Daphnia pulex: one gene and its partner. The protein of the gene in region 1 purifies or fractionates together with the protein of each later gene. This does not show direct contact. Links are inferred from orthologs where the notes say so. Each region holds a gene or a part of one and is shown on either strand. Other genes may lie near its edges. The genes, in order: protein phosphatase methylesterase 1-like and serine/threonine-protein phosphatase 4 catalytic subunit.

Region 1 (4,302 bases):
TATTGTTAGACAGTTCAGTTGCAGTAGTGGAGCACAACTGTGGTTGAATTTTTTTAACGAATTCTACTCTTATTTTCTGTTAATGTCGGGAAGTGGCTTTTTTCAAGGAAGGAAGTCAAGGCGGAGCTACAATGAATGATGATTGTGTGCACGCGTGACCATGATTACGTCCATTGCGACCCCGACAAATTTTAAGTTAAATTTCTCCGCTTATTTTGTTGTACTGTATTTTACTTTCTATTGATTTTGAAACGGCTCCATATAGTATCTCTACCATCTCTGCTTTAAACATGGCACACTGGATGAGACTGGATGAATGTCCATTGTTCAGCAACATACAAATAATTATAGACTTTCATTTTTCTTTCTCGAAAGAATCATATAGGTCAAAACTAAACCTAAAATACATGGGAAGTGAAATGTCACATGGACCGTCTATTGCTTTTCCGGAGAAAGGTGGAGCGCAATTCTTACAAAAGCAGAATATAACAAACAGAAGAACAAAAAAGGAAAACGAAAAAATATATTGGCTAAATACAGAATGTCTGAATGTACTGTGCTCGAGGAGAGGAAATATTCAATTCAATTTTACACCGTACTATTAAAAATTTTGTACTTACCTGTATATATTCCATCTTTTCAAAACATTTCCATTCGTTGTTAATTTTATTTGACCCATCGCTACTAGTAATTAAGTTATAGAGTTAGCTGATATTATAGTAAGTTATAGTTAATAAACAAAGTCGTCTTAGTGTTCAAAACGAAAGAAATGTGAACTTACGGATACAATTTGGCAAAGTTTTTAAATGAAAAATCAAATAGCGTGGAGCATACCTAATCTGTTGTGTTTTCACTTTTTATGGAAATCTAAAGTCACCTTTGACCTGCTCTACTGAACCGTTACTACATCGAAAAAGTGCGTGACTGTCAACTTCCCGTTGCCCGTTATTATTTGGTAGGCCCATAAAAAGAAAAGAAAAAGAAGTATGTGTGACAGGGAAAAACTACACGTATGTATTAGGTAACCCCTTGTACGATCTATTAGGAAATGGGAAAAATTTTGTTCTGTGTTTTCAACTGTTGAGTAGAGACATAGAAATGTCTATAGAACCAATTCGATAAAATGTCTAGGATGTTCGACCAATGAGAATGGATATGGCAGAATTTGCTACTAAATGCCCCTAAAAAAGTTAAAATATAAATTCATGCGTTTAATTCTCCGATATGAAAATGATAGAAAAATCTGCGAAGAGAAGGAAAAGAAGATAGTAGATGCGAAAAAAGAAAGAAAAGAATAATTTAAAATTGCTTTTGGTTTTTGAAATACCAAAAAGGTAAGATACCCTTGGTGGGACTCGAACCCACAATCTCCAACTTAGGAGGCTGGCGCCTTATCCATTAGGCCACAAGGGCTTGGTTTGGATGTTATGAAATCAAAAATAATTCTTTTATTAAACTTATTTAATGGAAGCTGCCGAGAATCCTCCATTCAATTTATAAACATTCATAAACATTCAGTTAAAAACTTACTGACAATCGATCTTGATTTAATTTAATGCGTAGCGATATATTTATGTTGCAAATCACAGTTGCAGACGACATTATTCTATTATTCCAGCAGCCAGCTGCTGTGTGCACTGCCTGACAGAAAATCTGAAATGAAATCTGGTTAGTCGGTAATTTTTACAATAACATTTGATCTTAAAAATGGAAGCAAGTGCTTTGAAGAAAGTAAGGTGTAAATTGATTGCTCCTTTGGGCCTCCCTCCTCCTTCATCCAAAAGGTACCATTGTTTGTGGTACTGTATCTGAGACAACAATATTTTTATTTTATTTTTTAGCTTTTCAAGACCTAGTGGAATGGGAAAGAAGAAAGATTATACCCCTATTCATTGGAGCCGTTATTTTACATCACGTGAAAAAATAGTGGTAAATGAAGATGGAGATTCATTTCAGGTTTATCGTAGAGGATCTTCTGGCCCTCTTCTTGTTCTGCTTCATGGAGGTGGATTTTCTGCTCTGAGCTGGTCGTTGTTTGCTGTAATTTATTCTTATCTAAATAATGTTAATGTTTTATGATGTATGTTTCTAATTCACTGTTTTATTAGGAATGCATTGAAGGGCTGGTTTCCTGTCAGATTCTTGCAATTGACATGAGGGGTCATGGTGACAGCAAGACACACAATGATGAAAATCTTTCAGCAGAAACCCAAGCTGATGATATTGTATCAGTGGTCAAACATGTCTTTGGATCAGACCCTCCTCCCATTGTTCTTATTGGACATAGTATGGGAGGAGCAATTGCAGTTCATGCTGCTGCTACAGATCAGCTCCCAATGATTGCTGGGCTCATTGTGATCGATGTTGTGGAGGGAACAGCAATGGAAGCACTAGCCTCTATGCAAAATTTTCTAAGATCAAAACCCAAACAGTTTCTCTCCTTGGAACAAGCCATTGAATGGAGGTATTTAGGTTACTGAAATACTATTGAATAAGTTTGATTGTAAAAACTTTCTAATTATAACAATTTCATTTGTTGTGTTTTTATAGTGTCAGAAGTGGTCAGATTAGAAACGGTGAATCTGCTAGAGTGTCTATGCCTGGTCAATTACGGAGGTATCCATTGAGTTGTGTATTTGAAAATGTAGAACTTCAACGAAATTTTCAATTCATCTAGTGACGTGACTGGAGAATGCGCTACATCTGATGTGCCAGAAACAGTCACCACTCCTACCGCTTCTTCACCACTTGATGCTACAACACAAACTTCGAATGCGCTCAAACATGGTGAATGTATAACAGAAGAAGATGAAGATGAAAAAATTGAAAGTTCTCCTTCAACTAGAGAACCTACATTTTTCCCTCCAGTAAGATTTTCGGATAATTTATCAAGTTACATCACATTTAGAGTAAATTTTAAGCAAAAACTTCTCGTCCTTGTATTTAGGCCGTTAGTCCTAAGACTGGCTATCACTGGCGTATTGATCTGACAAAAACTGAACACCAATGGCCGGGATGGTTCCATGGTCTCTCGGCTACATTTTTAGCCATTCCTGTTGCGAAGCTCCTGCTGTTGGCCGGCATTGACCGACTCGACCGAGAACTAACCGTTGGTCAGATGCAAGGCGAGTCAAATTCAAATAATAGTTTGAAAAATATTAAAATCCGTTTTCGTCTTAATGTCAATTTTTGTTTGTGGCCTAAATAGGAAAGTTCCAAATGCAAGTGCTTCCTCAGTGTGGGCACGCGGTACACGAAGATGTGCCAGACAAGGTTGCAGAAGTGGTTGCTACATTTTTAGTAAGAAATCGCTTGACATCACCAAAGGAGAAATTTAATTGGTAAAAATAAATATATTTTCTTTTTTAAAATAAAAAATAAATTAAAAGATTTTACATATAATCTAGGGTGATGCCTGCTTGTTAGATTTTCCACTTATCACGTTCGACAACAAATGAAGTATTGAGTATTGTGTTCGATAATGCGACAGTAGAATCTGGGTCCTGAATATTTGTGTTTACTTTATGGTCATATTGTCATATTCTTTGCGTCATATGCATTGTTCTACATACTTTCATTTTAAAGTGTTTTGTAACATTTATTCAGCAGTTTTACTTTTCCTACTTCAAAATGGCGTACTTAAAACTGCATTCTAAAGAAAATGGGTCATGCTCCGCCGCATCAAATTTCTTTGTCAAAATCAAATGACAATAACAATTTGTGTCGGTTCTTTGTCGACAACAAATTGCGTGTCGGTTCTTTGATGTCGATAAGCTAACATTGAAGGCGAAATTATCCTTTGCACCTGAAGATATCTAAATTTTCGTATTTTCTTCGTACGTGGTGATTCGTATTAATAAAGTTCGTCAAGGCCAAAAGGACATTCCCTTTGTTGGCGAATTGAATTACTGATGCTGTTTCGTTGTTTATGGAAACAAATATTGATACGTCACAAGGTCTTATTGTTTATTGAAGACAAGTTTGATACGTCACAAGATCTAAAAGTTTTAACTTTTTTTAGAATCAGTTTCATCCATTCAGTTCGAAGTTTTCATAAATACAGAACAGGAAAATAAATAAAAAAGTTTTCAAGTTCAAAATTCTATTAGAAATAACTTCACTAGTCACTGACGCATTTGAATTAATACGTCAACACGGATGTTATTGAAATGGATTGTCTTTGGTGCGCTTCAGGCATTTTAAGAGGCGGAAACCAAATTTTTTGAGAAAACAGTTATAGCCTGCAAAGCGACCGGATTTCCCTGAGCTCCATGTCTTAAACCGGTTTGAAGTGGCCAAGAA
Region 2 (4,280 bases), on another chromosome or scaffold:
ATCGATTGGGAATATCCGAGTAGTGCGTCCGACAAAGTTGGGCTTGCTGAATTAATGAAGGAACTTCGAGCCGCATTTAATTTACAGACACCGAAATATTCACTCACTATCGCTGTGGGAGTCAATAAAACCATTAGCGACCTCGGTCAGTATTAATCAATAGTGTATATGAAATAAAAAGGTTTTTTTAATACATTTTTTCAACGTTAGGATACGACATACCTGTGTTGGCCACGACAGCTGATTACATCAACATTATGGCTTATGATATGCACGGGCCATGGGAACCTTTAACTGACCATCACGCCCCGCTCTATAAAAGAGATTGGGATACAGATGAAACCAACAATATCGATGCTGTCGTCCAGTACTGGAAAGATAGCGGTATGCCGTCCTCAAAACTCATGCTGGGAATTCCCCTATACGGAAAGTCCTGGACACTCGATTATACTTACACGGAGGATCCCACGCTTCCGGCACCCGGTTTGGGACCTGGAGCTGCAGGACCTTTAACCGGTGAATCGGGAACGTTAGGATACAACGAAATCTGTAATTATGTGAAAAACGAAAATTGGGAGGTGGTGGTCGATCCGACATTCCAAATCGGTCCATACGCTTCCACTCCGAGCGTGCCAAAGACTTGGGTTGGTTACGACGATCCCGTCATGGCCAATGTCAAAAGTCGCTACGTTCTGGAGAGGGGACTAGGCGGAGCCATGGTTTGGGACATGAGTACCGACGACTTTAGGAACACTTGTGGTGATGGACCCAATCCTATTATGACCAACATTTCACGAACTGTTGGGGTGACGACATCGACTACGACGACTTCACCGGCGGCGACCACCAAGACTACTACAGCCAGCACCTCGACGACTACGGGTGAGACAACGACAACAACGCCAACAACACCCCGTCCATCCACTACCAAACTGTCCACTTGGCCAAGAGTCACGACGGAGTCGACACAGGCTACGAGTTCGAAAACGCCATTCATACCAAACAATGGGCACCGAATTGCTGGCAATAGTCAGCAACTTACATTTTTGGCTTTCGGGTTTATTTTAATTAATTTAGTTATCTAGGACGTTAGAATTCAAATTTAACAATTTTTAATCATTTCTAATATTTTAAATCTTATTACTATATATTCAAAATCTGATTGATTCGGCCCGCAATACACACGAGTGATAATTAAATGTTGTTAATTGATATACTCATTGAGTAAGCCAAGAGAACTCTTATTTTTTTGTTGCAAAATTGCGTTAAAAATGAATTAGAAATTTGACAACTCCAATGTCGATTGAGCGAGTGCCGAGTGGCATTGTCAAGTGTCGAAACAGGAAGTGTTTAAATAAGTAATGGGTTAACGGCTACATTGTAAAGACCAGATTTCCAAGGCTTGAATCAAGGTTGGTTGTATTATGAAAGTCTTTATTGCAAACAAGTAAACGACCGTCAGAAGATCTGTGTTTTGACTGAATCAGAAATGAGAAATCAGCCTGAACATGCCCGTCTCAAGCAATCGATTTTTTTTAATCCAAAGGAATTCTGAGAAATAAAATATCAATTGAATGTCAGCGTTAGTTAAGGTCCCGTTTGAATAAACGAAACCCATCGTGACCATGTTTTGGTAGCAAACATCGGGCTGAAGGCCGACTGACGTCAGAGAATATTTCAAAATTGATAAATAATGTATCGAAATATTTTTTTTACTAGCGTGCTAGCGATGTTATCTTTATTTGTAAATTTTTTTTCTTACTAATAATATTACCAGATATTTGTAAATCATTTTCAGAACAATATCGATATTTCAACAAAAAGGAATAAAAAGCGCGCTTGAAATTAAAACTGCGGAGAAACTTGGCAACGCCGAATAATTTAATGGCGTTTAGATTGAAGCCCAGTTTTTTTGTCCGGCAACGTAAGGCAAGCCAAGGAAGTAAGGATAGCTTTGAAGAACGACGAGGACGGATTCAATTCGTGGCTTAACTCTCGATCGTCAACTTATCCAGTCACGAATTCATTCTTCGCCATCACCACTCATATTTCATTAATAACGCAAAGAGGTAAAGCTTTTATCTTATTCTCGTTCTGTGTAATGTCAGTTTCCTCATTTACCAAGTCAATGTGTATGACATCACCGGTCGGCTGTTGCACATACTCAAGGTCGTTATTCTTTATTTCCCTCTCGTCAACTAGGAAACAGACAACGTAAATATGTCAGACTTTAGTGATTTGGATCGACAGATCGAACAACTCAGACGGTGTGATATCATTAAAGAATCAGAAGTCAAAGCCTTGTGTGCCAAAGCACGGGAGATTCTGGTTGAAGAAAGCAATGTTCAGCGTGTTGACTCTCCTGTCACAGTAGGTTTCTCATAAGCTTTTGATTATTGCTCAATAACTAACATTTTTTGCTTGCTTTAGGTTTGTGGTGATATCCATGGCCAGTTTTATGATTTAAAAGAACTTTTTAAAGTGGGTGGGGATGTTCCAGACACAAATTATCTATTCATGGGAGATTTTGTTGATCGAGGATTTTACAGTGTAGAGACCTTTCTTCTCCTATTAGCTTTAAAGGTAGTATACATTTTTGTTAAGCATTTCTTTCTCTTGTTTCTGATTTGAGATTTCTTTCTTAGGTTCGTTATCCAGATCGCATCACTTTGATTAGAGGGAACCATGAATCACGTCAAATTACCCAGGTTTATGGTTTCTATGACGAATGTTTTAGAAAGTATGGTTCAGTCACTGTGTGGCGCTATTGTACTGAAATTTTCGACTACCTGAGTCTTTCAGCCATCATTGACGGCAAAGTATGCTTCCAGTAGTAACATGCATTGATAAAAACTCTAACATGACATGTTTTTCAAATTTTAGATATTCTGTGTGCATGGTGGGCTATCTCCTTCAATTCAGACACTGGATCAAATCCGAATAATTGACAGAAAGCAGGAAGTTCCTCACGATGGACCTATGTGTGATCTCCTTTGGTCTGATCCTGAAGGTAGGAAAATAAATATTGGCTATACTTCTGAAAGTGGTAATTCATTTCTGGGTGTTTGCTTTTGACAGATACACAGCAAGGATGGGGAGTGAGTCCACGCGGTGCCGGTTATCTTTTTGGCTCCGATGTTGTGCAACATTTCAACACCTCAAATGACATCGAAATGATTTGCAGAGCACACCAGCTTGTCATGGAAGGCTACAAATGGCATTTTAACGAAACGGTGCTGACGGTGTGGTCTGCCCCCAACTACTGCTATAGGTTTGTCTTAATTTCCCGCCAGATTTCACCAAGATGATTACTTAAACTTTTAATATTGCAATAGGTGTGGAAATGTAGCTGCCATTTTGGAATTGGACGAAAATCTCCATCGAGAATTCACGATTTTTGAAGCTGCCCCTCAAGAGACTCGTGGCATTCCTTCCAAAAAACCTCAAGCCGATTATTTCCTATAAGAAACGCGAAATGTTGATCGTTGATATATCCCCTGCGATTTTTTACAAAAATAATTATTCGGTAATGCATAAAACAAAAAACACAAAAAAAAAACAGTAACTGATGTGAGATACCCCATCAGTTGAAACAGAGCAAAAGAGCCTGTATCATGTTGGTTGACCATTTACCTTGACCGCCCGGACTAACAAATAGGTTTTTGAAAATTCTGTTCTGTCCAATCCCTTCCTTTTTTTTGGTAAACACAGTCTTGTCCTTTATAATAAAAATATATCTTGATCGTCCAAACAAGTGTTCAGTTTCCCTTTTCAACTTTTTGCTGCAGGATATCACATCTGACTATAAGCTACTCCCACTACTCAGTTTAATGAACAATATCTTTGTGTACGTGCGGTTATGGTATGTTGGGGGCGAATTGTGTGACGTGTGTAATTATTTTTTAACATCAGTGCTAAATATTGATGCAATGGCCATGCTTCCAAAATCTTTTTTTTTTTGTTTGTGTTGCACCCATTTATATTATTATGAATGTGATGCTTGCGATGGCTCTCAACATGCACTGTATACAATTTCTTGAAATAACGATGGACTTGAGACGAAAACATGTTTAGTGTACCTGCATTAGTTTCGAAAACAAGGCTCGATGTTTACTTTCTCAACATTGAGTCATAACGGCTATTCATTTTTACGATCGTTTTTATTATCACCGCTGTCCCGAAACAACATTGCGTGATGAATCAGCTGATAAGGTAATATCGTTGTGACATTCGACTACCGTGTGCGGTTTTGTGATAAGGTTACGTACTATCACAAGGTA

What was found.
Region 2: the proteins of protein phosphatase methylesterase 1-like (region 1) and serine/threonine-protein phosphatase 4 catalytic subunit purify together in Homo sapiens (affinity purification with mass spectrometry; 3 studies listed by BioGRID and IntAct, with this or other methods). This does not show direct contact. The link is inferred for Daphnia pulex from reciprocal best matches to the Homo sapiens genes PPME1 and PPP4C.

What each region holds. Positions count from the first base shown.
Region 1 is NC_060026.1:6,517,166-6,521,467, forward strand, and holds protein phosphatase methylesterase 1-like, read left to right. Parts: upstream 1-1,496; 5' UTR 1,497-1,707; coding exon 1,708-1,784; intron 1,785-1,841; coding exon 1,842-2,040; intron 2,041-2,108; coding exon 2,109-2,464; intron 2,465-2,550; coding exon 2,551-2,616; intron 2,617-2,677; coding exon 2,678-2,867; intron 2,868-2,947; coding exon 2,948-3,125; coding exon of another isoform or gene 3,126-3,146; intron 3,147-3,208; coding exon 3,209-3,341; coding exon of another isoform or gene 3,342-3,345; intron 3,346-3,407; coding exon 3,408-3,426; 3' UTR 3,427-3,905; downstream 3,906-4,302. Other genes in the region: uncharacterized protein LOC124206141, read right to left, coding at 1-1. UniProt on the Homo sapiens protein: Demethylates proteins that have been reversibly carboxymethylated. Demethylates PPP2CB (in vitro) and PPP2CA. Binding to PPP2CA displaces the manganese ion and inactivates the enzyme.
Region 2 is NC_060025.1:1,447,614-1,451,893, reverse strand, and holds serine/threonine-protein phosphatase 4 catalytic subunit, read left to right. Parts: upstream 1-1,321; 5' UTR 1,322-1,412; intron 1,413-1,798; 5' UTR 1,799-2,069; intron 2,070-2,202; 5' UTR 2,203-2,220; coding exon 2,221-2,370; intron 2,371-2,430; coding exon 2,431-2,583; intron 2,584-2,645; coding exon 2,646-2,819; intron 2,820-2,883; coding exon 2,884-3,010; intron 3,011-3,078; coding exon 3,079-3,271; intron 3,272-3,335; coding exon 3,336-3,465; 3' UTR 3,466-4,065; downstream 4,066-4,280. Other genes in the region: probable chitinase 10, read left to right, coding at 1-145, 211-1,085. UniProt on the Homo sapiens protein: Protein phosphatase that is involved in many processes such as microtubule organization at centrosomes, maturation of spliceosomal snRNPs, apoptosis, DNA repair, tumor necrosis factor (TNF)-alpha signaling, activation of c-Jun N-terminal kinase MAPK8, regulation of histone acetylation, DNA damage checkpoint signaling, NF-kappa-B activation and cell migration.